Regions from separate parts of the Mus musculus genome. Here all the other regions are reported to be linked to region 1. Evidence: microRNA targets listed by miRTarBase, many of them from high-throughput screens and not tested one by one. Region 1 holds a microRNA gene; each other region holds the end of a gene's coding sequence.
What was found. The annotated mature microRNA mmu-miR-5121 reads AGCUUGUGAUGAGACAUCUCC and lies in region 1 at 2,863-2,883, opposite strand. An mRNA with a match to its seed (bases 2 to 7 or 8) in the 3' UTR can be bound and repressed. Matches are read on the target gene's strand: a 7mer-m8 pairs with bases 2 to 8, a 7mer-A1 pairs with bases 2 to 7 and ends in A, and an 8mer does both.

Region 1 (4,077 bases):
CGCCGCAGGATGCCCTCCTCCCGCCACAATCCCTCACCCGTTAAGCTCTGAGCTTTAAGAACCAACTCCCGAAGCGCCAGGGACCCCATTACTGCGTAGAGCCCGGATTTCCGAGCCGCCTGAGACGAAGGCATTCGCAGGCATCCTCGCTTCAGCTAATGCGTAAGACAACGAGGACGCCAAGGGATACGCTCCACACCGAAGCGTCGGGGGAAAGCAACTAAACGCTCGAACCTGAATGTCCGCCATCTTCCCGGCCGCCGGAGAAAGGGAGAGGCAGGGCCGCTCCCGGCTTCCTTATTCACCACGCGAGGTCGGGGCGGAAGTGACGCGGGGTTATCCTCACGGAGGTGGGAGGTACTTCCGGCGAGAGCCCGCGTTCCTGGGACTGTCCGTACGCCGCCATGACGGGGGAGGACTAAGGGGCGGGAAGATCCTATCATCTCGCGAGATTTCAGGAGCACGATGTGGAGGAAACGTGCATCATGTGGTACGGCGAGGCTTAGGGCGGAGAAGGCGTGCCGTACGGGTTGGGAAACACGTGCTGGGATTCAGTTTCCAGAGAGAAGCGGCCGTGCAGAGCGGGTCTCAAGAAAGGGGTGAACCGCTTTACAGCAGAGTATCTGCCATACGATGTCAGGAGCAGCCAGCGTCGACCGAATAGTCAACCTTTCTTCCTTTTATTAAAGGCCGACGTCACCAAGGTCGCATGTCCTTTGTTGACAGTATCTCAGGCTGCGCGTCTACCCACACTTTGATGGGTTTATGTCCTGACTACTCGTGGATGAGTGTCTAACCTTAGGTGACCACCCCAGGTAATAGAGGAACCATTTAGCCAGGTGGCAAAAGCTTGTGTCAGTTTCTCGTATTCACCGTTCTAGCCCTGCACAGATGGGCTAGAACAGTATAAAGCATATTTTCAAAATAGATTGACATTTTGAGTGGTGCTGGATCTTTTTAACCCCAGCACTCACGGAGGCATAAGGACTTGGCTTCCAGGTCAGCTAGCTGTAATAAAAACTCTAGTGGTGGTTAACATGGGAAGCATTTTTAAGATTATATGTAAGTACACTGTAGCTGTTCTCAGATACTCCAGAAGAGGGCATCAGATTTCATTATGGATAGTTGTTAGGCACCATTTGGTTGCTGGGATTTGAACTCGGATCCTTCGTAAGAGCAGTCTGTGCTCTTAACCACTGAGCCATCTCGCCAGCCCCCGGAAGGATTTGATGTTTAAAGAACCAGAAGACTCAGGCGTGGTAAATGCCTTTAGTCCCAGCCTTTGTGTCATGGCCTGACCTCCTACAGTCCAGGTACCAGCTCTTGTATCTTGGTGCTGACTTACAGTAACACCATCTAGGACAGGACCCAAGATGTATATCTGCAACTTTTGAGCAACAAAGCCTATCCCGTGAGCAAGGATTCACCCAAAGGGGCCCCCCATGCAGATGACCTGCTGGTGCCCTCTGCCCCTCTCTGCACAGCACACATCGTACACACTTAAGTCAAATAATTTATTAGCACATAAAATCCTCCAGAAAAATACTGCTTTGTGGTCTGCTGGGAAGGAGCAAGGCAGTGCTCCAAGTGTGCACTTGTGAACCCCAGCTCATGTGCAGATCTCATTTTCATAGCTGCAGAATAGGGTACTTGGTCAGGTGGGTGGGGCAGCCCTGCTACTCATTTTCAACACTGAAGCTCAACTGATTCATCCCATGGTTTGCACTTTAATAAAAACTCATGCAGGTGGTGCGCTGTCAGCTCTCTAATGTCCCCTCTACCCACAGGAGCAGTGCCTAAGGAACCTTTGGTCCCCACTTCCCTAGTTGGCGGCGGAGGAAGGGCAGGCCAGGCAGGCATGAGGCAAACAGTCTTTATTGGGTTCACACCAGGAGTCCGTTGGTCTTGAGGACCTCTGTGAACTTGCAGATTTTCTTCTCCACATTCTTTTCTGCCTGTTTCCGTAACCTCTGTGGTGTGAAAAGACACATGTCAGAGCGGTTGCTTCTCACCTGCGCCCCCCTAATCCTGGATCTCAGTGTCCGTCCTCACCAAGATCTGCTTCTTCTTCCGATAGTGCATCTTGGCCTTTTCCTTCCGTTTCTCCTCCAGAGTGGCTGTCACTGCCTGGTACTTCCACCCGACCTCATGCGCCAGACGCCCCAGGTAAGCAAACTGCAGAGGCACAAGGCTGTAAGGACATGGAATGTGCCCCAGCAGCACAAGGGTGAGCCGGAGGGCCTAGGGACCCTATTTCAAGGACTCATCCCCAGCACGGGAGCCCTCCTGGCATCAGCTTAGCCTTTGGCATTATCGGCACTGCCCTAACTGTGGCATCCGAAGACCATCGTGAGAATAAGAACATCATGTGCCAGTCTTGAGGCTCACAAGCCTAACCTGTAACCTAGAGCTTACCTTTCTGGTAGGCTTCAGCCGAACAACCTTGAGAGCAGCAGGGACCACCATCCGCTTTTTCTGTTGAGAGAAAGAGATGCTCAGAGACCTGTTGGGAACACCTAGCAAGAAGGCCAGCAGGGTAGGCGTCTCAGCCAGTGGGGTTTTCATGAGGCTCAAACAATGTAGGTAATAGCAGAACATCACAGACGCTGGACGCAGAGGCTGTAAGGCTAGGCTTGCAAGGCTCACCTTGTCATAGGGTGGAGGGATCCCATCCAACACCTTGAGGCGCTCCAGGGCAGCCTGGCCTCTCTTGGTCTTGTGGGGCAGCATGCCTGTGGGGGTAACAGCGGGCCTCATCAGAGGTGCTGAGAACCCCGTCTGACCCCAGGGCAAGGGCTAGAACAGCCTCAGATGGTAGTGCATGTAGAGTCATCTCATAGTCGAGCAACTCGAACATGAGTGGGAGATGTCTCATCACAAGCTGCCAGAGCCTACCCTGTCCTACATGTCACCACATCACCAACTCACCTCGCACAGTGCGCCAGAAAATGCGGCTGGGGGCTCGGAAGTGGTAGGGGCCTCGGGAGGGGTTGGTATTCATCCGCTTCCGGAGAAAGGCCAGATACTTTACTGTCAGGACAAAAGTATGTGAGGCACCCTTGGACCCAAGAGCAGAGCAGATAGCCTGCTTGTCCAGGAGCAAGGCAACAGCCCGCCTGAAGACCACTGCCCCAGCCCTAACTCACACTTGTTTCTGTAGAAGTTTCCAGAAATGTTGATGCCTTCACAGCGTACGACCACCACCTTCCGGCCTAGAGTTAACAGGGAGTTGGAGATTAGTCAGCAAAGCCTCTTGGAAGGCAGATCTCTTGCTCCAAAAGTATTTTTAGGCCAGGGGTCCCAAGAAAGCAGGGGCTGGCGAGTCTCAGAGCGGTGCATGGGTTGATCTCACAGTCGTGAGACTCAAACGAAAGATGGTGAGTGTTGCTCATCATGGACTCCCAGGCAAAGGTAAATGGTGAATGAAACTTACCCAGAAGTACCTGCTTGGCCACAATGGCCGCCAGGCGGCCAAGAAGATGGCCTCGGCCATCCAATACCAGAACCTGTGGAAACAAGAATGCTTAGGAAACAGTTTGGCTTCCCCTATTCCAGGTTAGCAACCCGTCAGGATGCCTACTACCCAGATGAAGCAAGTGTCCCAAAGGGCCACTATAGTACTAACAAAGCCTCAGCAGGCATAGGATTCCTATTGTGTATATAAGTTGATTTTTTAAAATGGAACTTCATTTAACCCTTCCAGGCCTCAAATCCCAGGATAGCTGGGATCCAGTGGCACACCGTTCACTCCAAAATTGACCAGACCTGCTTTCAGACTTTAGCCTGTTGTAACTTTTCATCGGATCCTCAGATGCTCAAGCAGAACCTTTCTTATATGCACTCAAAAGAACCCGATTTAGCTAAGCACACATCGTCCTGTGATTCTGAGCAGTGCAGACTGGATTACAAAGCTAAATCCCGTCTCAGGCATGGAGGCACATGTCTGCATCCCAACCCAAACTACAGAAGAAGCCCATTCCACAGCCACCCTGTTTATTGCTGTTACTGGAGGGTCTCCGGAACTTCCCAAGTTCTTTTTAAAGGGCAAAACTGTCCCAAACAGCACCATTTACTTCC
Region 2 (4,077 bases), not on the chromosome of region 1:
GGAATAATGGGTATTTTTTTTAAAGTTCAACATTAGCAGGGTGGGTAGTACATAACTTTAATCCCAGCACTCAGGAGACAGAGTTCAAGACCAGCCAGAGCTACATAGTGAGACCCTGTGTCAAGAGACAAAACAAAAGCCGACATTATCAGTGTCCGATGAGTGTTCAGCTAGAGACGGGGTATTTTTCAAGCATCATCATCATGTCACTGAACATACTTACAGGGCAATCTTTTTCTAGGCTATACAAGACACAAACAATTTGAAGAGATTTATCCGACAGGCAGAGATGAATCATTACGCTCTGTTTAAATGTTACATGTTCCTTAAGAACTGTGGCAGTGGAGATATCCTTTTGAAGATTGTTAAAGTGGAACATGAAGAAATGCCCGAGGCCAAAAGTGTGGTGGCTGTCCTTGAAGAATTCATGAGAGAAGCGCTTGTCTGAAGTTCCAGTCCCGTGTTGAGGATCTGTTTCATGGAGTGTATTGAGGCTGCATGTGGGGGCTGTAATTACCATTGTTTATAGGATTGCACTGCCCTAAGATGACTGGAAACACCCCAGCTTCTTCCTTTTGTGCTTTTTTTGTTTAATTTAATTAAACACAACAATCAGAGGAATGTCTTCACCAGGTCCTAGGCAGACGCTGTGTTACAGCTGGGGAATTTTGCTGTCTCATAAATCCTAAGCACGTGCTGCCTAAAGAGCTCTGGAGATGAGTTTTGGCTTCTTGGGAGTTTACCGTAGTGTTTAGCAGGATTTCCTCCTCCAAAAGAAACATAGTATGCCTTTCTCAGTACAATGTAGAAGTTTGTAAAGTACATGATCCTAGCAAGATGTGATGACACATGCCTATAATCCCAGCTACTCAGGAGGTTGAGGCAGGAGGTTGTGAGGTTCCAGGCCAGCCTGAGCTACTGAGTAAGTTTATGTCCAGCTTGGACTACAGGGCAGTCATCACCTTCCTGGTCTTACTGCACCATCAGCTCGCTTCATTGACAGCCTGTTCATCCTCTGAGTGCCTGATACAAACCAATGGGCAGGAATGACGAAGCCACCTTTTGAAGCGAATATACACACGAATTATGAGTGTATAAGCACTTAAAAATGAGCTTTATGTATAGAAACTTGTGGGCTGGCAAGGTGGCTCAGAAGGTAAAGAAACCTGCCACCAAGTCTGACAACCTATGTTCAATCCCCAAACTCACTTGGTAGGAGAGAACCAACTCCACAAGTTGCCTCTGACCCATACAGAGCTACATACTCAATAAATAAATACATGAAGATATGGTGGGCTGGAGAGGCAGCTCAGCAGTTAAGAGCATTGTTGCTCTTGGAGAGGAGCCGGCACCTACCTGGTGGCTCAATTTCAGGGGATTTGACACCCTGTTCTGACCTCCTCAAGCGTCAGGCACACATGTAGTGTATAGATATACATGCAGACAAAACATACACATAAAATAATCTAAAACCAGTAAGAAAGAAAAGAAAGAGGAAGAGAGAGAAGAAAGGGTATACTAGCTTCAAGATGAAACATTCTCTCTGACTAAAAAGCTCTTGTGGCAATTTACACAATAGGTATTTATTTGCCAGGAGCCTGTATTTTTTTCTTCCTTATTTCTAGATAAAAATGCTGGAATTCTTAAGCAGTATTAAGAAAAAGGGAAATAAAACAGTTAATATAGGAAATATCCTTTACAAGCAAATATAAGAATGCACATGTGGTGATTCATGTCTTTGAATGTAACCTTCCACAAGACGTAGGCAGTTGGAACTCCCTGAGTTCAGGGCCAGTCTGATTTACTGAGTTATATAGTAAGCTTCAGGCCAGCCAGAATTACAGAGTGAGTCCCTGTCTCAATAAATAAGAAAATAAACAATATTTTAAAAATTAAAAAATGTAAACAAATTCCTCTCAACACAATTGCTCATTGATTTTAGATCTTTCTGTCTGTCATAAGCCTCAGATCGTTTTGCCCTGAGTCAATTGCAAGAGCCCTTGAGTCGTCATTTCTCATCCCATGGGTGCCAGCTGCAGCCACACGCGTAGCTGTTCTGCATAGCTCTTTAATAAATCCATTTGGTAATGAATTTGGTTTAGAAAATCAGAAGGCTTATGTTCTCACTGCCTTTGGGATGCTCAGAGGAGCATGAGTCTGTGAAACGGAGGCATTCTTAACTGCTTGTAAACCCTGCTAGGAGCTGAGTTCTAACTTTCAAAGAGACTAATGATATGGCTTTCTGCCTTTGCTTCTCCATAAGTCAGTCTAGGGATAGGAGTCACCACGCCCTTCCTTTCCCTTTAATGAGAAATACAATTCAGTATCTTCATAAATGCTTTCATATGGCTTTAAAGTTTAATAGCTTGGATTATAGGCAGTATAGAAAAGAATGTAAGTAGCATTTTTATAGCTATCTGACGGCTGGATAGTCAGCAGCTCTGTGGTACTTTTCTTGAATCTTTTCCCAATGCACTTGGTGCCCACTTGGAAATCATTAAAAATGAGCGACATTAGGACATCGAGATTTTGAGTCTCTAAAATAGTAATCTTTATTTTTAAATTCACAATCAGGAGCAAATAGAATTCTAAAAGTAAGTGTAGGGGTTAGGGAAACAGCTCAGTGTAAAGTACTCGCTATGCAAACGTAAGGACCTCAGTTTGATCCTCGGGACTTAAATACAGAAGCAGGAGTGCTAGCATGTGCTTGTAGTCCCAGCACTGGGGAGGAGACTCAGTTCTTACTGCCAGCCCAGCTGACTTGGTAAGCTTCAGGCCAGCAGAGACCTTATCTGAAAACAAATGGAAAAAAAAAAAAGATAGCTCAATGGATAAAGGCCCTGGCTGGCAAGTCTAGAGCCCATGTGAAGGTGGAGGGAGAGCTCACTCCTGCAAGCTGCTCTCTCTCTCACTCTGTCTATGCATCCTTCAGAGCTAACTATTAACAAACAAGAAAACAGAAGGGTAGATGGCTCCTGAGGATTGTCCTCTGACCTCCAAATGTTTGTGCACACAAATAATAATATATATACCAATAATAAATAAAAGCAAATGCTCTACCAAAAAATAATAAAAATAAACGCAAATGCAGCCAGGCAATGGTGGTGCACACCTTTAACCCCAGCCCTCAGGAGGCAGAGGCAGATGGATCTCTGAGTTCAAAGTCAGCCTGGTCTACAGAATGAGTTACAGAATAGCCAGTTACACAGAGAAACCCTGTCTTGGTAAAAAGAAAACCAAAACAATAATAAAGGAGATGCATTAAGTCACGTGTGGATATAGGAAAAACATAACTCTATATTCTTTGCTTATTTATAGGTACTTCTTTGTAATGTAAGCCCACTACACTACACAATTGTATATAGTAGTCTTATATTTAAAAAGAATCTGCATAGGCAGAGACAGGCGGATTTCTGAGTTCGAGGTCAGCCTGGTCTACAGAGTGAGTTCCAGGACAGCCAGGGCTATACAGAGAAACCCTGTCTCAAAAAAACCAAAACAAAAAAACAAAGAATCTGCAAAATTCTGTACCACTGAAAAAAGATGTCATGGAATTAATTATCTTGTTGATATGAAAAACAGCTCATAACCATAAGCCTATTGTCATATTCAAATTTTAATGTGAATGTATTAAATTTTAAAGGCTTGGGGGATGGAGGAACACCCTCTCAGAACAAAGGGGAGGGGGAATAGGATGAAGAATTCTAAGAGGGGGTGCTGGGAGGGGGGCAACATTTGAAATGTAAATAAATAATTAATTTTAAAATATTAAAGGCTTAAATAGTGTTTGTTCAGATGCGAAGTAAACGAGTGCTTATGTGCAGTACGCAGGAAATATGTTGGCCTTGTGTAAAAATGCCTCTGTGTAACAGTGATAAAACTCCAGGTCAAGGCAGGTAGTTTTACCTAACTGAGCTTAATTCTTACCTTTAATTATTTCCAGTAATTTTACATGGAAATTATACTTCACACACACACAAAGATGTGTGAAAAAAACTCAGATTACCTGTTGGAATGCACACAGAAGAGGTAAACAGGTTTCTCACAATGGTTCATTTGTTGTGTAAAAAACAGTTT
Region 3 (4,077 bases), not on the chromosome of region 1:
TCCATCAGAGTTAAGACAATTGCTATTAAAAAGTTCAGATTGTTTAATAAAGTGTTCTTAACAAGTTCTACACTAAACTAAACCGCTGCCCTCCCTGGCCTGCAGAATGGACGCTGTGGCTGAGGGCTGACACTCTAGCAGCTGGGGTACTACACCCCCTTCCCTTAGAGAGGGGAAACCAGGCAACTGCATGAGAACACGGAGTCCCCGTACCCATCCTAACATTCCAAGTATTTTATAGACTCTGCATTACGTAGGTTAAAAGCAAAAATCTCAGGTAGGAAAAAAGGAATGCCAAAATATGGTGTTCAGATCATCCCAAGGGTCAAAAAGTTCAGTCCCCATTCAGAAACAGATAAACAGTATATTTATTAAATGAGTTAAGACAAATAAACTTTACAAATAGACAAATAATAAAAGGCTCAGTGGCTAAAAGAGATGGTAAGCATCATTAAAAGAAATCAACACCATCACGGTAGTATCCCAGTTGGCTTACACGTGGAAATGAAAGTTTCAAAGAGCAATTTCACAGAAATGAAGCCAGGTGGTTTTTTTTGTTGTTTTGTTTTTTTTTCTCTTATAAACAAATCACCATTTTCTTGGTTCAAAACTGATAATCTGTTATGAAAATTACCATATCACATATTTGTAAGATGACAAGACGTAACTCATCCTCAGAGTGTGACAACTATTTACAACCACGGAAAGGCAATGATGGGGAGAAAAGGGAGTCTAAAAAATATACAAAGATTAAAAACATTTGGGATGCAAAATTAAACAAGTTTTTTTTTTCTTTCTGATTTTGGTTAGAGAATAAAAGAGAAAAATGTGAATTACAGATGTTGATTTAGGTATACACACTATAGAATGGGATCCAAGATCTTTAACAGCTTGCTTGTATTTTTTTTTTTTTTTCCTACTTACATAATGCTGTGGACATTTCTGGTAGAAATTACAGTGTCTCAAAGAGAGAAACGCACACCGAGCGTGTTTTGCTATTATGACTTCACGGATGTCCTAAGACCCACTTATGGATTTAGAGGTGGGGTAAAAAGCCATTGCCTTGAGTTTTGGAAAAAAAAAAAAAAAACCGGAAAAGCTAGACACAAACCCTCCAGAGCACATGCAGGTCTCATTCTCTTGGTAATTACATTCATATTTAAGCATAACCAAAATAAAAAAGAAAGCTGAGAACATTTCCCTTTCTCTATTCCCTATGCCTCACAGGCTTCTTCAGTGGATAGGGTCAATTCTTAGAGTTGAAAGGGTTCTTCAAGAGGAGTCCCCCACCCTCCGTCAGGGTGAGTCACTGCCCCAAGATCATGCAGCACGTTAATGGCAAATTCAAGACGAGGAGTCCACCTTGGGCTCCTGGTCTAAATATGCGTCCCAGCATATCATGCTACCTCTTTTTACAGTATGAATAACTACAAACACCTGATGAGTAAAAATGTACAGTGATCGATGGGACAGAGCCGATGTGTTTCTAAGACTTGCAGAGAGTTACTGCAGGCAACTGATGGGGAGAAAAAGATTCCTCCCACCCGCCCAAAAAAAAAATATATATATATATCAAGCACCATCAACTAGATGTTTCTTTGCTAGGTCAGCATTCTTGGATGTAGTAGTCCTCGTAAACTTTAGGTCAGCCTGAGGATTGTTTAACTGGCGAGATCTGCGCCCTGAAACAATACCACTTTCTAAAAGGTCAAGACGAGAGGCAGACAAAGGAAGAAGGTAGACAGAAAAGAAGCAGAGAGCCTGGAAATTCAATTGTCTCAGAGATGAGCATAGAGTTCGGCATAGAGTTGGTTATTACAGAGATCGTGTTTAGCCGCTTCCTCAAATCTTCATGCGCCATCCCTTTAATCTAATCTGTGACTGGGACACTTAATAAAAAACAAATACATCAGACAACTGTGGTCATTACTTCGTATAAAATGGCGAGACTACTTTACTTTAGATAAAAGTAGATTCTATGAAGGGTGTGCTAGGTGGCAAAACTGCTGTCTCAGCTCGACTCCATGGGGTGACCAAGAAAGGATTCAAACAGCCCTTCCTGAGGCTGCCACCAGCTTGAAATTTATTCTAGTTGTGGTTAGAGGAGACAGGCCAATGCGGCACACGTAGAGAACCAAGGAGCTGAGCTGTCTGAAGAACCATTGCTGTGTATTTATTTAATAAAAGGGCATATTTATTTATGTTTACAAACAAGTTTCAAAAACAAAAGGAAACGATGTATGCCTCTCTCTATTAACCTTTCTCAAAATGCCAACAGCCCCCTCTATGCTGTGTGAAGGTCTCTACGCAGTTATTAGAAAAATCAATGCAGTCACTCACAGTTCACTAAGACATCACTGAACTAACATATTTAGACAAAAACAAAAAAAAAAAAAGACTAAAGGTTTCTCTTGTACTTTGATAGTTTAATTTGATTGGCCTGAAATAACAAAGGCATTTCAAGCATCTTTCATTGTGTATTTGATGTCCCGCAATAAACAATCTACTAAATTCTGAACAAAAGGTTATTAGCAAGTTTTCAAAAAATTTAAAAATTAAACAGTTCTTTCAAAACCATTAAGTAGTAAATGTATTTAAGAAACTAATTAGGACAGATGCCATAACTTCATTAGAACACCACTGCTCATGGTTTTTGTTGTTTTTTTTTTTGTCTTGTTTTCTTTTTTCTTTTTTGTTTTTTAAACAAAGCATTAGTGTTATCTATTTGGCTATTAGTATTAGCAATTTATCTACATATGTAACAAGATAAATTGTAGGCAAAAATTTAGTACAGTTTCAATAGAAACACCCCCCCCTTTTTTTTCCTGAAAATACAGCAGTATTTGAAGGACTAATTTTTCTCTGCATTACTATAAGGAAGCTTCCCGTCTATGAAGAACAAAAAAAGTATCTACAAACCTTGTAAACAGATCTGTATCATTTATAAACATAAATAATCCAAATTATTAACAGCCAACAGCAGAAATTAAAGTATTCACTCAATGATCCAGGGCTCTCTGTCTCACCCAGCGTCACTCCTCCCTCCCTCCCATCAAGAACTGAGATAAACCACAGCTCTGCTAGTCAGGACAACGTTAGGTACCACTGACGACCCACAGGCCACTCCTGCCGAGTCACCGCTGTTCATCTGTCAGTTCGTTTCTCCCACACCCCAAAAAAGCACCCTCAGTCTGGCAGAAAGCTTTGCTTTTGTTTTTTTTAAAAAAATAAATCTACATTCGTACAAGTGTGTCTTCTGTTGAAGTCCAGAGACAAGAATACTATCTTGTCCGTCACAATATGTGAAAAGACTCAGTTTCGATTTGTTTCTTTACAATGCAGCTAGTGTGTTACCATTCATCTTACAATCAGAGTGATGTTTCCAAACTATGTAGTGGGCTTCCTGGGGATGAAGAGGTAGCAGACTTGTTCATTTCTATTGTAAGGTGAATTCCGCTGTCAACAGCATTGTTATTTTTGTTAGGAGAGGGCGGAGGGCTGGAGTTGCGTTTTGTTGGGGCGTCGTCTTCAGCATCAGTGTCATCAATAAGGGGGATGTGCGGCTCTGAATCTTCTATCCTAAACTCAGGGTGTGTCATAAAGTTGTGGATTGAACTTCTTGATTCTGGCTTCTCTAACCCTTCGTATAAAGAACTACGAAATGCATTCACCACTCGGATCTGTAAACAGCACAAAACACAGAGAGATGTCAGGACGCCAGGAACTTCGCCACAGTAATGGTTCACTTATGAGTTTGAATCCACAAACAGCTAGGTATGAGTGAATCGAATTTGCATGTAATGCAGTGGAACTTGCAATACACTGTAAAAAAATGAATATTTTAGTAGGACACTACAGAACAACGAAACCACGTACTCTAATCGAGAGGTACACGTTCAAAGAAAAACTAACAAAATCTCAATGTTACTGGCTACAAATTTAATAGCCATTTTGTAGGATTTTTTTTCCCTAAGAAGACAAAAACAAAAACAAAACAAAATGAGAACTTAGCCATACACAAGCTTACTTGAATTATATTTAAATAAAAAAGCACATATTTCTCAAAACAACTCAAGG
Region 4 (4,077 bases), not on the chromosome of region 1:
AGGTTACGTTACAGAGTGGGGCTGTACACAAGTGAGTATAGGACAAGGGGCAATGTTACACGGTGGGGCTGTACACAAGTGAACATGGGGGGGGGGCTGTACACAGTGAGCAGGGGGGGCTGTACACAGTGAGCACGGGGTGGGGGGTGAGGGGGGGCTGTACACGAGTATGGAACAAGGGAGAATGCACCCTAAGGAACGCCACTGTGTGTGTCTGCTCCTGGGGAGGGTGTGTGCTGTCCAGCAGGCCTTCCTCCTATGCCCCTGAGGACAGCTATGTCCATGTCAAGTCCCATGACCCAGGACAGCTGCGTTTCCTAACCCAGCCCTTCTAGTCAGGGCAGAGCCTATGTTGACTGTTGCCTGGAGGACCAGACTCAGGTCCTCTGCTGGAGCACAGTGCCTACTGGGTAGGAAGTTGCCTTTCACCCACCAGCTCTTTCTTGTTACCTCTCCTCACAGACTCTGCACCCTCGAGGGGCTTCCACTGTCCACAGGGACTGCTCTGGTGAACGGCCATTACTACGTGGCTGTTGGAGAAGAAGAATTCAAGGCCCTGCCCTATATGGAGCTGCTGGTGCCCAGCCCCTCTCTGTCCAGGGGCTGCTGGTAGGTTTGTCTGAGGTGGAGGATCACAGGAAGTGAGTGCCCTCTGACCCACCTCTAACCTCCCCTTCACTGCAGGTGTCCTCCAGGCCTGAAGTACAAAGCCCACAGGAAGAGGGTAGGTGTCAACCGGAACACCCGCACACCACACCCCATGCACCTGCTCAGCAAGCCTGAAAAGCCAGGATTCCATCCCTCCCCCCTTCCTTGGGGTGGGAACTCAAGTTCTCAAGCCTAGGCAAAAAGGCCTCCTCACGAGGCTGGGTGTTGGAACTGGCTACTGGGCAGAGCAGGGCCCAACCTTCCACTCACGGCCCTGTTCCAGGCCTCTGTTCCTCCAGATGAGCCAGTGCATATGTGGCCCAAGAGTAGAAAGCAGCCTGGTTTCACTGGGCATCTCTGAATGCCAGCGTCAATTCAACTATTTCTGGATAGACAGCCTGGTAGGAATGAAGGCAGGCAGGCTGCAGGCTATGAAGAAGGCACACGGCCTCTCCCAAGCTTGCACAGGCAGCAAGGCACACCGAAGCGTAGACTGGGAAGTGAGAAAGATGAAAACATACGAAGCTCTAACCCAGTGTCCCATCTATAGGTCCAGGGCTACAAGGCCTCAGCAGCCCAGCCTTTTCCAAAGGAGCCAGGGGAAACTGGGCCATCCACTTTCTATGCCAGGCCCCAGCAGCCCTGGAGCAAGCTCCCTGCTCTCTCATCTCCATCAGGTGAGGGGGCCCTGGGGCTGGCCCTTTGCATCAGCACCTGTGCTTACACAAACTAGGAAAGCTCTCACATTAGTCCCCCTCTGACGTGAGAGGATGGGCCTTGCTGCTGCTGGGAGATGTCTGCAGCAGAATGAGTCAGCAGAGCTATGTGCCACCCCTCTACCTGCATGTCCCTTGCTTCTATTTCCGTCTGTATTCACTGTTGTGTGTACACACGCACATGGGCACATGCAGGCCATGGCCATGTAGAGGTCAGAGGACAACTCTGTGGAGTCAGTTCCCTCCTTCCACCGTCACACAGGCAGTCACCCTCCGAGGCGTTGGCGAATGTGGACACAGCTGCGGGGAACCAACTGGTGTAGCAGGTGAAGGCACAGGAGCCTGAGGGCCCTACAGCCTGGGCATCGGCCAATGCTGCCTCTTTATTAGGAGTTACGGGAGTGTATGGGGCTCCATACCCGAGGAAGGAGACGGCTGGGGCTCAGGAAGTGAATGAGGATGAGAACACACGCACAGAGGAGCCTGTGGATCAGGTAAGCCCATCACATGGACACCAGGGAGCCTTAAGATGGGCAGAGATCTGAGCTAAAGTCTGGGCTCCAAGGCTCGTCTTCCTGGTGGCTAAGCAGATCTAAATCTGAAAGCCTGGCTTCCTGTTTCCCTTGTGAGGCGTTCAAATATCCAGTAGTCGCCTTTCCTGGTTGGGGACCTCTGGCAGTCCATGCAAATTGGGCACACACATAGCTCTGTATGTCTCCACACATCCACCAGAGGGCAGCAGAGACAGCAGAAGAGGCCTTGTCTGCGCAACACCAGCCTGGGCCTGAAGCTGTAGCCCCAACCTCCGCCCATGCTCCTCCATCTTAAGAGCTGGGAGCTCCAGATACAAACTGGGGGACAACCACTCCCAGCCACCTCTGTCCCCAGCCCTCAGCAACCTGTTCTGGAGAAGCCATGCCTCCTGGGCTCACAGTAGGTGTGGCCTCCTCAGTCACAGGCCCACAGGCAGGTTCTGTGGAGGCTACCTCCTCATGTGATCCTGCCAGAGACACTGCATACTCAACACAAATAAAACATTTGCTAAGCTTTGTTTGCTGTAGATTTATTGAAAGCTGCTGCTGGCCAGATGTTTGCTGCAGCTAGGTGGTGTCCGGCACACAGCTGTCTACTTGCGGGGCTGACAGTTGAGCATTTTGCCCAGGGCCAGCTTGTTTTTCTTCCATCTGACATTCTGATGTAACTTCTGTCCCCAAATCCCACCTTCAGCCAGCCAAAGCACTGTAATGGAGCTGTGGAGGCTTCTGGCCATTCCTGGTTGAGACTGCAGCCAGCCCTTTCCATGTAATGGAGGCGCTGTGTGAGGATGCTGACAGTCTACAGCAGGTAACGGAGGCTGAGTAACAGCTGCCTGAGGTGGCAGCAGGAAGACAAAGATGGCAGCTGAGGGTGGCTGTACAGTCTCCAGTGCTAAATCCTTTTAATGCTTTTCTTCTTTTTGGTTTTCCAAGACAGGGTTTCTCTGTGTAGCCCTGGCTGTCCTGGAACTTGCTTTGTAGACCAGGCTGACCTCAAACTCACAGAGATCCACCTGCCTCTGCCTCCTGAGTGATTAATGGAGTATACCACCATGCCTGGCTCCAGTGCTAAATCTCAACCGTGGAACCCACTAAAGGTTACAAAACCTTCCCAGTGCTGCCCTTCGTCTTGTTTGTTTGTTTTGGGTTTTTTTTTTTTTTTGGTTTTTCGAGACAGGGTTCTCTGTATAGCCCTGGCTGTCCTGGACTCACTCTGTAGACCAGGCTGGCCTGGAACTCAGAAATCCGCCTGCCTCTGCCTCCCAAGTGCTGGGATTAAAGGCGTGCGCCACCACGCCCGGCTTTGCTTGTTTTTTTGAGGCAGGGTTTCTGTGTAGCCTTGGCACTATGGAGAGTATGTTTCTTATTGTGGCCCCTGAGATAGACATGATCTGAGAGATGAGAGAGGCCAGCTGGCCAATCATTCTGCCTACACCTTGGGCCCAGCATCCACCGAGCACAGCAGAGCTGACGGTCGGGGTTGGCCCACTCAGGAGTGCGACGGTTGGCCCTGGGTCTTGCTCACCGAGCTTGTGATGCACACGGTGATCCCTGTGATGGTGAGCACCATGCCAGCCACTGCTTCTGCGATAAAGAACCCGTCAAGGGGTTGGGGTCAGTGGGGCCAAGGAAGAAGACAAGATGGTGACCCCTGGTCCTGGTTCTCATCCCAGCCCCTGCCCCCAGATTGCTCAGGGAAAGGAGACTGCGGGCCACAAGCAAGCAGGAGAGCTGTGGTAGAACAAAGGGCAACGTGAGGGAAGGCCTCTCCTCACCACCCATGGGAGTCAGAATCGGGAAAATGTTCATGTATGCCAAGGCCCAAGCAACCATGCCCTGACGTGCAGCCACCCAACTTACCTTTCCCACCAATATCTTCTCCAAGGACCTTCCCAACAATCAGTGTAAAGACGATGGCCAGAGAGTTGCAGATGGGCACAGCTAACGTCAGATCTGAGCAATTAGAACAAGAAAAATTCCTAGAATGTCTTTCTCAGGATAAAATATTTGCAGCATGCCCTCTTCCCTCTCCTCTTCATCACAGTTGGTCACCACAAGATAGTCACAGTGACACATTTTTGTTTTGGTTTTGGTTTTTGGTTTTCCAGGGTTTCTCTGTAGCCCTGGCTGTCCTGGAACTCACTCTGTAGACCAGGCTGGCCTCGAACTCAGAAATC
Region 5 (4,000 bases), not on the chromosome of region 1:
ACAGTGACTGCAGTAGGGAGAGCTCAGCCAGTGAGCAGGACAACACTCTGCTCCAACAGTATTTAACCTCCGTCCAGCAGCTGGACGATGCCGCAGAGGCGGCCGATTCTGACGATGTGGCAGGAGACGGTAAGCGTCACCTCGCTTGTTCTCCGGAAAGGTTTGACGCCTCCTCTGACAGTGAGACTCATAGAGTGGCCTCTACTTCACAGGATGAAATTAGCCAGACGCCAGAGAATTGTCAGTTAAACGAAGAAGCCCAAGGGCAGCCTCCGGAGTGTGACCCTGCCTTTCAGGGGTTGCATGTGGGTGTCACTGTGCAGCCTGTCTGATTTACTGGGGAGCAGAAATTCAATTCGATTTTCTTATGTTTTCAAGTGTCTCTTTTGCAGGGGAGCAACCCTTTCCCCCATTTTGTTATTATTTATATACAACTTGTTTCCTTGTCCCACACTTTTTAGATATTAGCTACTGAACTACGTCTTCATTTTCATTGTACTACTGTACTAAACAATATTGATATTAAAAGGCATATGCACTTTATTTCTTAATAATTACACCAATAATGTTTCCTTTACATCCGTACTGCCTTTCAGGAACAGTTCCTTGCAGTAGTTTTGGTGATTTAAGTAGGAGAACTTGGCTCTTGTTAGTCACATGGTAAGGGATGGAATATGTAAGGCACGGCTAGGGTGAGGACTATGGAAAAGTGAAATTTCCCAGGCAGTCTCCTTGGCCTAAAACTGTGGCTTTCCACCCTTTGTGTTAAGGAAAGCCTTCTTGTATAAGAACACTTAGGGAGAATAAGGTTTAGTGTGTGTGTGTGTGTGTGTGTGTGTGTGTGTGTGTGCGCGCGCGTGCCTTATGTGTGCGTGCTGGCATTTAAAAGTCTGAGCCTGGAGAATGGTCAGCATGTGCCCGGCCATTGAGCTGCTCACCTAACTCCCAGATCGTAAGACTTTTAAGTGGGTGATTAAATTGCCTCATGACAAACATTAGCTAATTTGTGGATCAGTTTTGAAGTAAGGTATTCCATCAGGATTAAAATCAAGCTTGCTCGGGCAAGTATCTTTCTCTTTGCTATGGAGAAAGGAGACATAGAGTTAGTCACTTGGAACCATGCTGTTCAAATGCCTCTTTTCATTATGTACTCTTTTAGGCTGTTGACATTTATGTGCCAATACTTTGGGGAAGAAGTAGATCGTAAGAAATCAATATGTATTCATCATTATGGTCTTGCTTTTATTTCTATATATACTTCACCAGAAGAGCCAAAGCTACACTTCACAGTGTGTGTGTGTGTGTCTGTGGACCACAGGAGTTACAGCCCTGTGCATGCCCCATGGAGCTGTGTCTCAGTCCTTATTTCACTCGTGACCTTTGTCCCTTAGTGAAGAACGTTTAAAATCCTGATAGACTGCAAATGTTGTTTTTTTCCTGAAGAATTTTTTTTATCTAATCTCTGAAAAGTGCCATATTCGAAGGACAATGTACTGGTGACTAAGAAAAGATAAATCCAGCTGGGCTTGGTGGCGCATGCCTTTAATCCCAGTGCTTGGGAAGCAGAAACAGGCAGCTCCCATGAGTTCAAGGACAACCTGGTTAAAAGTAGGTGCTAATATCATCCATTATTCTATTAAAGCCATTAGAGCCCTTTAATTGAAAGTATATAAAAACAAAAGTTCTGGTCCTTCCAGAATAGAGTTGAGGACCATGTGGTACTTGCTGAGAGGAACAGCTCTACCTTATGGCGAGCTGAATTCATAAACACATAGTACTCAGGTTGAGAAGGCTTGCATTTCATTCTCAGAAATCCAGAGTCCTTTGACAAGGACATGTTTTCTGGGTTTTATAAACAGAACAAGTCTTGAGTTCAAACTATTTCCTCTAGTATAGATGTGTACTATTGAATGCTTGATTGATTAAAACTGAAAAGTTAACTCTGAATAATAATTACCTTTTATAATTTTGCATTTCTTTTAAAATACTTAATTTGTATGCGTGTGTTTGTGTGTGTGATAGTGTCTGTCTGAGTGTATGAGAATATGTGTGTATGTGTGAGAGAGTATATATGTGTGTGCTGTGTATGTGTGAGAACTTGTATGTGTATGTGAGAGCTTGTGTGTGTGAAAGAGAGAGTGTGTGTGTTTGTGTGTGAGAATTTGTGTGTGTATATGTGCAAGGGAGAGTATTTATGTATGTGTGTGTGCCTGCTGGAGGAAGCCAGAGGTGGGTGTCAGCTCCCTTGAACCTGGAGCTGACAGGTGTTTGTAAACCGTCCCTCAACCCTACCTTTTTTATTCCTTTTTCAATAGGCAATAAGAATTTTTCTTATTTTTCTATTTTTACAGTTAAGTGCCTCATTTGCTGCCCACAGGTAAAGAAAAACATCTCACTGAGGTAGCACCAAAACTGTTTCACGGCACATTAATTTCAGAAAAGTGGCTCCAGCGCTACGGTTGAGCGTCCCAGAGCGCCGTTCTGGTAGTTGCTTTTTCCTTTTCTTAAGTCATGGAATCTAGTCAGATCTAGCCATTTCATCTGATAGACACTGTCAGCAGAACTTATTGTTCTTTTGTCTGGTTTTCTAGTCTGAAAATGGCATTCAACATATTTTTTTTGTGAAAAACTTGGCAGAATATGCTAATTGCTCATATTCTGCTCTACCTCTCTCTTATTTTATCTCAGTTTAGAAGTATGGGAATGTGAAGTCGCCTGCTTCGAGCTGCAGAGAATCTTGACTATAGGTGAAAATGCAATATGCCAGAATGTAGGAAAACTAAGACAGAGACCTAACGTATTTTTATTGGTTTATAGAATTTAAAGGTAACTAAGGGATAGTAATTTATGTGACTCTGGATTATTTATTAGTCTGGCTGGGAAGGGAACAGACTAGGGAGTCTGGGGAGTTGAACTTTGAACTTGGCTTTTTTTGATAAGAGATTTTTGTTCAGCTGTGCTGCTTTGGCTCAGATACATTCTCGCATTATGGAGGACTTGTCACTTCGAGTTACTGCAGAGGCATAAACTTGTACCACATAGGCAGGCAAGACTGGCACATGCCTTTAGTCTCAGCCTGTGCGACGAGGCAGATACAGGCAGATCTCTGAGTTTGAGACCAGCCTGGTCTACACAGAGAAACCCTGTTTCAAAAAACGAAACGAAACCAAACAAAACGCCCACAAGCCTCCTACCACCACCCCCCCGCAAAAAAAAAAAAAAAAAAAAAAAAAAAAAACTCGTCATACCCTGTGAAAATCAGAAGGAATCTTGAGATTATCTGTTGCCATTACTATTGTTGTTATTATTATCGCTATTATTATTGTACAATGTAAAAGAGATGCTGGCCTTATGGCAGCGACTGACTGTTTCATTGTGCAGAGGAAACAGCAACCCAGGGATGATAACCAGCCTGTGTAAGGTTGCGGTAGCCAGCAGTAAACTGGAAACATGTTCGTGTATTTCAAGCTTTCCATAACCTTCTCTGTCCATCTTTACAGGAATGAGTAAGTTGCTGCATTTTAAACAGGAAAAACAGCTTTTAAGAGAGGCCCTTTAATGGCAGAGTTGTAGCAAACAGCTAAATCTTTCAGAACCTTGAATGAATGTTCTCCAAAAAAACCAAATGGGACTTTCTTAAAGTTGTTTGTATGAAGCAATAATAGCAGCCGGAAATGGCAGTGCACACTTCGTTTTTTTGTTTGTTTTTTGTTTTTTGAGACGTGGCTCTGTAGACCAGGCTAGCCTCTAACTCAGAGATCCTCCTGCCTTTGCCTAACGAGTGCTCGAATTAAAGGCATGCAGCATCACAGCCCAGCAGCGATACACACTTGTAATCACAGCACTTGGGATGCCGAGGCAGGAGGATCTGAGAGTTCAGGGCCACCTTCAGCTACATAGTGAGATTCAGGCTAACCTGGGCCACCAACAGCAATAGTAAAGTTAAAATTTTAGGAAAGAATCACTGTATCTTAATCATTTATTTGATGACAGCTAATCT
Region 6 (4,077 bases), not on the chromosome of region 1:
TCTGGTGTTGGGGGACAATGTTTTTGCAGACCTGGTGGGTAACTGGCTAGATTTACCAGAACTGGAAAAGGGCGGGGAAAAGGGTGAGACTGGGGGATCCATTGAACCCAAAGGAGAAAAAGGCCAGTCCAGAGAGCTGGGTCGTAAGTTTGCCCTAACCGCAAACATTTTTAGGAAGTTCTTGCGTAGCGTGCGGCCCGACAGAGACCGGCTGCTCAAGGAGAAGCCTGGCTGGATGACTCCCATGGTCTCTGAGTCACGAGCAGGACGCTCGAAGAAAGTCAAGAAGAGGAGCCTTTCTAAGGGCTCAGGACGGTTCCCTTTCTCAAGCACAGGAGAGCCCAGACATATTGAAACCCCCGCCACAAGCAGCCCCAAGGCCTTAGAACCCTCCTGTAGGGGCTTTGACATTAACACAGCTGTTTGGGTCTGAGAGATGCTCACTGAACCTAAAATGCAGACTGGTGAGGGCCCTGGGGGAGAGGGAGGGCAGATGGCATGGTCTTCAGACCAGATGCAAGTTCCCATCCTCAGAAAGAAAGAAAGAGTTCTCAGTCAGGCCTCAGTAGAACCAAGTGGAGAGAGGCTGTCTGTCACAGGTCAGGCTGAGCTGAGTCCCTAGAGAGAATGTGTGTATTTGTGTGTGTGTGTGTGTGTGTGTGTGTGTGTGTGTGTGTGATGGTGGTGGTGGTGGTGGTGTTCTTTGAGGCTGGATGTGACAATAATTGGGAGAGGCAGGAGAGGAGTCCAGGAAGCCTGTGTTACTCCTCCACTACTTCCCAAGACCTCATTTGAACATCCTATATGGAAAGGGGCATTGAGCCCTCAGGTTTCCCAGAGGAACTTCCAATAAAGACCAGTCTCAGGGACCCGCAACCATTTTAATGGTCTGCTTCCTGACAAGGCACTGCTACAGGCAAGGGGTTTTCATTTGTAAAGGGTTGGTATCACAGACCTTACTAGGACCAAGATTTTAGCCCATAGCTGGGTACTGGGGACCCAGAACAAGCAGGTGTGTGTGTGTGTGTGTGTGTGTGTGTGTGTGTGTGTGTGTGTGTGTTGAGGAAGCCTGAGAAGCCCTAGGTCTCCAAAGAGCAGAGGAGAAGCAACGTGCTTTCACGCAGGCACTGTCTCATGAGTCCAAGTAGGCGTGCCCAACCAGCATGGTATTTCATAAAGCAGCAAGCTCTGAGAACACACTCGGCTGCCAGGAGACAAAACAGGGCAGGCCGATCTCATGGTTATAAATGGACCCTAGAGTCACACACGGCCTGGTCCAGCAGTGAGAGCCCATCCTGACCCCTGTTGCCTGCCATAATGCTCCTGCAGGGCAGCAGATGGTTGGGGTGAACCTAGAAATAATACCCATATATTTAGAAAAATTCTTAGTCTACATCTCATAGTCATGCGGTGAGCTGGACACATCTATCCTCATCAACCTGGAAGTCAACAGGGGACCCGCAGGGTGGGGTTGATGCCAGGCACTTTATATAGTGAGCAGGCATGCAAGCCTGGGTCCATAAGGAATCCATCTCAGCCCCCACCCCTTAGCCAGGAGAGAACAAAGTAGGCCCCTGTTCAAGCCCAGCTATCCCGGAGGGTGCCTTAGCTCCTCCCTCACCCCCTCCGGCAGACCTAGCTCAGCTTGATGGGGTGTGACAACTGCAATTAGAGGCAAGCCGCCTGCTGCCCCCAGAGCATTAAGAGCAAATTGGAGAAGAAAAATAACAAGAGAAGCTCTTCTGCCTGCAGTCTAGACTCCCAAGGGACTGAGAGGAGGAAGGGAGAGCTTAGGGGACAGGGATGGGGAGGTAACAGTAAGATTGGGAAGGGTTGCCCACAAGTTCCCATCAAGTTAAATGAGAGATGGCTTTATTTATTTATTTTTAGAGTGGGGATTTTTTAAAAAAATCTGTAGCTTTTTGCTAGGCAATGTACCTATCTCAGAACGATTAATCAATGGGGTCAAAGGGTCCTGGCATGCACGTTGCCCCCATCAAGCTGCTCAAAAAGGAAAGCAGTTCCCAGCTCAAATCTGTGGGCATCAGGCTTATCTACTTTGGCCTGGTGTTTGTCAGCTGAGCTCACTCTTTCTGGTCAAGCATGTCCTTGTCCATCCTGTCTCCGTTGAACTTCTGTCTCTGGTGAAGGAAGATAACGGTAGCTCCCTCTGATGGCCGCTGTGATGTGTGTGAAGAAGGACCATGTGAAAACCCCACACCCTGACTCCTGAAGGGTGGCACACTCAACAGATGATCCAAGAGGACATGGACTTTGATGGCATAGGAAGCCAGGTCACCTCCTCACCATCCATGGACAACTCTCTTGGCTTGTGGACCAGTCATAGTTCACATCATTTAAATCAACTAACATGTGCTGGAACCATGGCTCAGTGGTTAAGAGTACTGACTGTGGTTCCAAAGGTCCCAAGTTCAAACCCCAGCAGCCACTTTTACAGCCATTAAATCAACTAACATGACAGACTCCTTGCTTGTCTGGGCACTGTAATAGAAGGTGAGAACTCAATGATAGGAAAGGAACCAGCTGCTGGCCTCCACATCTACCAAGGCACACAAAGAAATGCAGTGAACAGAGTCAGGGGACCAATACAAAACAACTAGGAAGTAATTTGTGCATCTAAGATAATACATATGTGTCAGGCACCTTTGCCTTTATTTTTCTTATTTCCTTCCTTCCTTCCTTCCTTCCTTCCTTCCTTCCTTCCTTCCTTCCTTCCTTCCTTTCTTTCTACACCTGGGAAATGGTTGCTCATTTTACCCAAATAGGCTCAGAGAAGTTAACTCTTTCAAGGTCACACAGTACAAAGCTGGGATTGAATCAGTTTGTAATTGACTTCCAATCTTACATTCATGCTACCTGGCAAACTGTCTACATTTGCTCCACAGCCAGATCAAGAATAACATTTGTCTTCTGAGATTATTCATGTCTCTTCATGATTGACAAGTGGCATGCTAATTACCCTTTGGAGGAATTTTGCCTGGGTCTCAGAGTGGCTGATATAATGTCCCAACTACTAGGTCATGCTTGGTTGATGAAAGCTTATGGTGACTCAACCTCATATAACTTTTACTTTCCTGTCCATATCCTTGGCTCTTGCTGAGACAGTAATGGAGAGTGTGTCACTGAAGTGAAGAGGTGCATAGAAATGCTCTGGCAGTCATGGGAAGAGATGGTGATAATAGGCAGAGAGAAATTGACAGCTAAATTCTGCCCCTTGGGCTCATTTTATGGTTAATTAGGACAAGTAAATAAGCTGGAAGCTCATTTAATACCCTTCCTGGCATAGAGGCCTGCCCCACAGCTGGCCTAATTCCTTGGCAGGCCTCTAGTTGGCCTAGGTATCTTCTCGGAGATCTACCTGCCTCTCTGCATCCCTGTCTGTGGTCAGCCTGTAGATATTTTCCAACCACAGTATCTACTGGAAGTGCCTCTCCCTGCTGGGCACGGTTGGTAGAGGCGGCCAGATCTCTGTTTCCTCTTTCTTCTCTCCTCTATGCTCTTCTGTAGCCTACCCTCAGGGTGATCTCTAACCCAAACTAATCCCGAGGAACAGACACTTGGCTCAGCTCCACCTACTACCTGGCTCACCTGTTCCCAGAATCTCCATAGAAGAGGGCACTTTCTTTCTCAAGTTACCCTAACATTCTCTGCAGGATAAAATCATGAGTCCAGCCTGTCTGTGGAACTGGGGCCTGTCTGCAGCTTCCCTGCAGAAGTGTCCATTCACTTTGGGTGATCTTCCCGACCAAGATACTTAGGTGTTTTGGCCAGCACCAGTATTTCTATGAATTCCTGATCTGGAGTTGAATAGACAGGAATCAAGACCTAGGCTTTTCACTGTGTGAACCTGAGCATGTGGCCTGACCTGCTGGAAGCTCCTCTGCTCTTGTGTGAAGCAGGAATGCTGTCAGGCACACAGCACAACACACCAGTGGTGGAGAACGCTAATCCCAACACACAAATTCCACAGAAATGGCACTATCCTCGGGTCTCCTGCCTAACCATGGACAAAGCTGAGAATAAACAGTGCTTTACTTTGAGCCCTGGTGGTCTGCT
Region 7 (4,077 bases), not on the chromosome of region 1:
AATTATGAGCTCTTGCCGGGAAACCAAGAGAAGGCACACTCTGGCCAGTTCCCGGGGCATAACGACTTCTTCCGGGCCAACAGCACCTCGGACTCAATGTTCACAGAAACACCCTCCCCGGTGCTCAAAAATGCCATCTCCCTCCCCACCATTGGGGGATCCCAGGCTCTGATGCTGCCCTTATTGTCCCCAGTGACATTTCATTCCAAACAGGAGTCCTTTGGGCGTCCTAAGTTGCCAAGGCTCAGCTGTGAGCCTGTCATGGAAGAGAAAGTTCAGGAGCAAAGTAGTCTGTTAGAGAATGGGGCAGTCCACCAGGGAGACACCTCGTGGGGCTCCAGTGGTTCCGGGTCTCAGTCCAGCCAGGGCCGCGACAGCCACTCCTCCAGCCTGTCGGAACAGTCCTCCGACTGGCCCGCGGACGACATGTTTGAGCATCCTGCCTCCTGTGAGCTTGTGAAGTCAAAGACTAAATCAGAAGAGTCCTTCTCTGACCTGACCGGCTCCCTGCTCTCCCTGCAGTTGGATCTTGGGCCTTCACTTTTGGATGAAGTCCTGAATGTCATGGATAAAAATAAGTAGCCAGGAGTCAGCTCTTTTTCTTGGGAGTAAGAGGTACCAAAATAAGCAGAAAACAAAAAAATCAACTAACCACAGCTGATGGAAAGAGCTGCTCTGACTGTTTTTATTTGCAGCCATGTGATGCATTTTCTAAAATAACGCTCCTGTTCCTACAAAATATTTTTTTAACCATCATGCCCTGTTTGCAAAAATTTTGAAAACAATAATTTTTAAAAATTAAAAAAAACAAAACAAAACAAAAAAACCTGTTCTGGCAAAAAAGAAAAAAAAAGAAAAGAAAAAGGAGGAAGTGAGTCAGAGCTCATTTTCAACAGGCATTGCTGATGCTCATACATGCTCAGTTTTGTTTGTAGACATGCAGAAATCCAGGCTGTCTAAGAGGGCTGGGTCCATGGGTCTCTCCAAGGCAATTCATTGCATGTTATGAGAAGGAAACTTACTTATTTGGCACCTACGCCTTTTTTTCCTAGCCTTTTTTGTATATTGTATCTTTTGGGTTCACCACAGCGAAGTCTCCAGCGTTATGATTTTACTCTTTGCATATTCGAGCAACCTTACAGGATTTGGGATTTTTTTTCCTTGTGGTTTTTATATATCCCTGTATATTATTTCCATGTTGCAAAAGTTTGACTGTCAGCTACATGTTGGTTAAAAACAAGCAAGGTATTACTGTAACTAAGTTATTTTTAAAGTTGAAATATATTTTTATGTGCCTTTGGCTTTTTATTGCAAAGTCTACATTTTATACATAATACATCAAGTGTTATTTGTCGTGTTTCCATTCGGGCTTCCTTGCAAGCTACGCGTGTGTATTTGAAAACAAAACCAGCCCAACCCTATGCGTTATCAGCCTGACCCTGTTGCTCGGGTGTTACCTCCTCCCAGTAGGAGGCACAGGGTGATGCTTCTGTGGAGACTGGAGGTGAGGTAGGTATTTAAGGACAGCTCATGTTCACATTACTTGGGTACATCATACCACGCAATAAAGAGTAAATGCTAAAATGAACGTGTTCATTTATAGTCATAAACAAGAACCGAAAAGATTTTAAGACCATCTAGTAAAAGTCCTAAAATGTACCCACACCTTTAACATAAGCCAAGAGATGACTGCAGTCTTGACTTTTTTACAAGTTTGGTTCTAGAAATAGGAACACTTAAGAGAAATGAACATGGGCAATCATTGTGTTATTGTTGTTGTTGGCTTATACAAACCTGCATGCTGAGAGAGAGAAGAGAGGAAGAGAGTGAGGGGAGGAGATAGAGAGGGAGGGGAGAAGTGGAAAGGGGGGGAGAGATTGAGATTGAGGTGAGAGGATAGAAAGAGAGGTGAGAGGATAGAAAGAGGAGCGAGAGGAGAGAGAAGAAAGAGAAAGAAAAGAGAGAAGAGAAGACAGAGATGGGGGAGGGGAGCTAAGACTATAAGCCTTTGCCACAGGGCCACCAAAGCCCTGTGCATGCCTGTCTTCAAGGTTGGCTACAGCATTTTATCCTGTAAGACAAAGGCTCCCTTGCTGTGTAGGTCCTACAGACACAGAAGCTTCAGAGGACCACTCAAGGGCCCTTCCCCTTTGCAAGATGCCCTGAGGAGATTGGTTAAGGAACCCAGAACAGGAAATTGCACACAGATTCCTGTCTATCTTTAGGCGCCCCTCCTGACTCTGAGCTTTGTTGCCAACAGGGAGTGCCAGCTCCCTCAGCTTGATGTATCCCTAGGGCACCTTCACCAAGGCAGCAGCAGGGACTCTGGCCTGGGGTTTAGAGTTCTTGGACTTCAATCATATAATGCATGGGATAACCTTTGAACGTAGGAAGTGAGATCCACTTTGGGTGGCTAACCAAACAGAGTAAATCGTTTCCCCTAGAGCGTTGAGTCTATTAAGCAACCCCAAGTCCTGCATCTCCACTCTGCTTCTTCCCAGTGTTCCTTTCTGTGGGATCACACTCAGTCATGGGTCAGAAACTTCTTAGACTTTCTAAGGCCAAGTTGCACGAGCTCATTTTTTTGTAGCTGGTGTCAGCCAAACTCTCTTAACACTTTCCCATCTTAATTACTGATCATATTCAGTCTCACTGTACCCTTTGTCTGCTGTATGACTTCCGGGAAAGAGGGAGGGATTTGTCTCCATCTTTTTTGCTGCCTTTCCAGCCATGGTGGAGAACGGCTCTGGTAAAGTCTCATCTTCTGCATCCCTCACATGTCTACCCACTTGACTTTTCCAAACTAAACTCCATATTCTCCAAAATCCATACTCTGTCCGGACCAAACAACTAAAACACAGACACCTTCAAGTACACTTGTAGGTATACTTGACATAGCAAAAAATTCGCTCCTATTATAAGAAAATGGCCTGGTCCAGTCTCTTGAACAGGTGCCCAAGTGGCAGTTAACTTTCTGTCCTACAAAGAGGCACTTTAGACTCTTACCTGCTGAGAGCTGATTTGATGTTCTCAAGCTGTGTCTCCATCCTACTTACATCCTAATTTATCTTCACTTAATTTAAGGAATTTAAGGAAACCCAAATGGACTTCATTTGTAAACTAAAAATGAGTGACAAGCCACCTGTGTGTGACCCACATACCAAAAATATGTCATCATTTGCATAAGTAGTGACCCTTTTAAAGTAGGCAAAGTTTTGTTTTTTGTTTTGTGTGTAGGTAGATGTCTGTTTTCATGGACAGTAAGACCTAACAAACTATATTTTCCATCCAAAAATTACATGCTAAAAATAATATCAGAGTCCTTTGCTCCTCATAATATACAGTCATTAATCTCAGTGGGCCAGCATCACTGTCAACAAGCACATAGAGGACAATTGGTTGAGCAGGAAGGAGAACCAGAAACCCAGGATACAGCCTCAAGCTAGGTCTTTTCACTGAAGGCCACTGCAAATACTGTACATCATGGAATGGTGCTGACCTGGGAGTCTGTGAATTAACTTGATAACTATTTTAGAAAATAAAAAAACCAAAAAAAAAGAGCATATGTTATATTTCTAGTCTTCCCATTAATGCCAAGCTGGGATGACTGAGCCATTTTGCTTTGAGCTTCAGCAACAATAAAGCAGCTCAGGATGCTGCCCTCTTTGCAGTGAGTCTCACTTTGGGAATTTATACTGGCAACCTAGCCCCAGACAAAACCCTCCGGTTTAGGATTGGCCTCCTAGACTATGAATGGTAAGCAACTAAGGTATATAAATAGACCACTGTGTCCCATGCCCTTGGTGTAAATATAATACAACTGTCCTGTGTCCCCACCCGTACTCTCAGACTAGATCCAGCACAACAAGAGAACATTCTCAATGTCACACCACATGGTGAGCCACCCGAAGACCTCTTTAAGCTGTATGAGACTCAAGAAAGCTGTGTTGCTGAAAAGTAGCCATACATATTAATTCGTGGTGCTGAATAAACAAGATGCTTGCTTTGTAAGCGAGTAAATGGTCACTGCTCAACATACTAACACAGTTGATGGATCCAACGCTGCCCAAAGGGTCA

Region 2: the mRNA of 5730455P16Rik is a reported target of mmu-miR-5121. Seed matches in the 3' UTR shown: 7mer-A1 at 1,699-1,705.
Region 3: the mRNA of Atp2b1 is a reported target of mmu-miR-5121. Seed matches in the 3' UTR shown: 7mer-A1 at 893-899.
Region 4: the mRNA of Tmem234 is a reported target of mmu-miR-5121. Seed matches in the 3' UTR shown: 7mer-A1 at 3,205-3,211.
Region 5: the mRNA of Cep97 is a reported target of mmu-miR-5121. Seed matches in the 3' UTR shown: 7mer-m8 at 3,181-3,187.
Region 6: the mRNA of Inka2 is a reported target of mmu-miR-5121. Seed matches in the 3' UTR shown: 7mer-A1 at 1,005-1,011.
Region 7: miRTarBase lists Cdc42ep3 as a target of mmu-miR-5121. Seed matches in the 3' UTR shown: 7mer-A1 at 1,237-1,243.

The regions. Positions count from the first base shown.
Region 1 is chr7:45,124,063-45,128,139 of GRCm38, forward strand. It overlaps Mir5121 (microRNA 5121), which reads right to left and starts at 2,929; the gene lies at 2,856-2,929. It overlaps Rps11 (ribosomal protein S11), which reads right to left and starts at 327. Exons shown (of 5, transcript NM_013725.4): 1 at 235-327. The coding sequence starts at 249. Rpl13a (ribosomal protein L13A) reads right to left here. Exons shown (of 8, transcript NM_009438.5): 2 at 3,434-3,506; 3 at 3,147-3,212; 4 at 2,929-3,030; 5 at 2,647-2,732; 6 at 2,416-2,475; 7 at 2,053-2,175; 8 at 1,501-1,970. The coding sequence ends at 1,884. It overlaps Snord35a (small nucleolar RNA, C/D box 35A), which reads right to left and starts at 2,373; the gene lies at 2,285-2,373. It also overlaps Snord34, Snord33 and Snord32a.
Region 2 is chr11:80,360,183-80,364,259 of GRCm38, reverse strand. 5730455P16Rik (RIKEN cDNA 5730455P16 gene) reads left to right here. Exons shown (of 10, transcript NM_027472.3): 10 at 242-3,768. The coding sequence ends at 448. Among named protein-coding and RNA genes, the nearest start is that of 5730455P16Rik, 16 kb to the left of the region's middle.
Region 3 is chr10:99,022,411-99,026,487 of GRCm38, reverse strand. Atp2b1 (ATPase, Ca++ transporting, plasma membrane 1) reads right to left here. Exons shown (of 21, transcript NM_026482.2): 21 at 345-3,680. The coding sequence ends at 3,369. Among named protein-coding and RNA genes, the nearest start is that of Poc1b, 83 kb to the left of the region's middle.
Region 4 is chr4:129,606,863-129,610,939 of GRCm38, reverse strand. Tmem234 (transmembrane protein 234) reads right to left here. Exons shown (of 5, transcript NM_029748.3): 4 at 3,761-3,853; 5 at 2,411-3,484. The coding sequence ends at 3,390. Dcdc2b (doublecortin domain containing 2b) reads left to right here. Exons shown (of 7, transcript NM_001195730.2): 2 at 1-31; 3 at 463-609; 4 at 685-724; 5 at 1,199-1,325; 6 at 1,755-1,858; 7 at 2,592-3,010. The coding sequence ends at 2,609. Among named protein-coding and RNA genes, the nearest start is that of Dcdc2b, 5.4 kb to the left of the region's middle.
Region 5 is chr16:55,901,500-55,905,499 of GRCm38, reverse strand. Cep97 (centrosomal protein 97) reads left to right here. Exons shown (of 11, transcript NM_028815.4): 11 at 1-4,000. The coding sequence ends at 332. Among named protein-coding and RNA genes, the nearest start is that of Nxpe3, 8.2 kb to the right of the region's middle.
Region 6 is chr3:105,716,782-105,720,858 of GRCm38, forward strand. Inka2 (inka box actin regulator 2) reads left to right here. Exons shown (of 2, transcript NM_175398.4): 2 at 1-4,061. The coding sequence ends at 433. Among named protein-coding and RNA genes, the nearest start is that of Inka2, 14 kb to the left of the region's middle.
Region 7 is chr17:79,331,230-79,335,306 of GRCm38, reverse strand. Cdc42ep3 (CDC42 effector protein (Rho GTPase binding) 3) reads left to right here. Exons shown (of 2, transcript NM_026514.3): 2 at 1-1,584. The coding sequence ends at 582. Among named protein-coding and RNA genes, the nearest start is that of Gm17315, 21 kb to the left of the region's middle.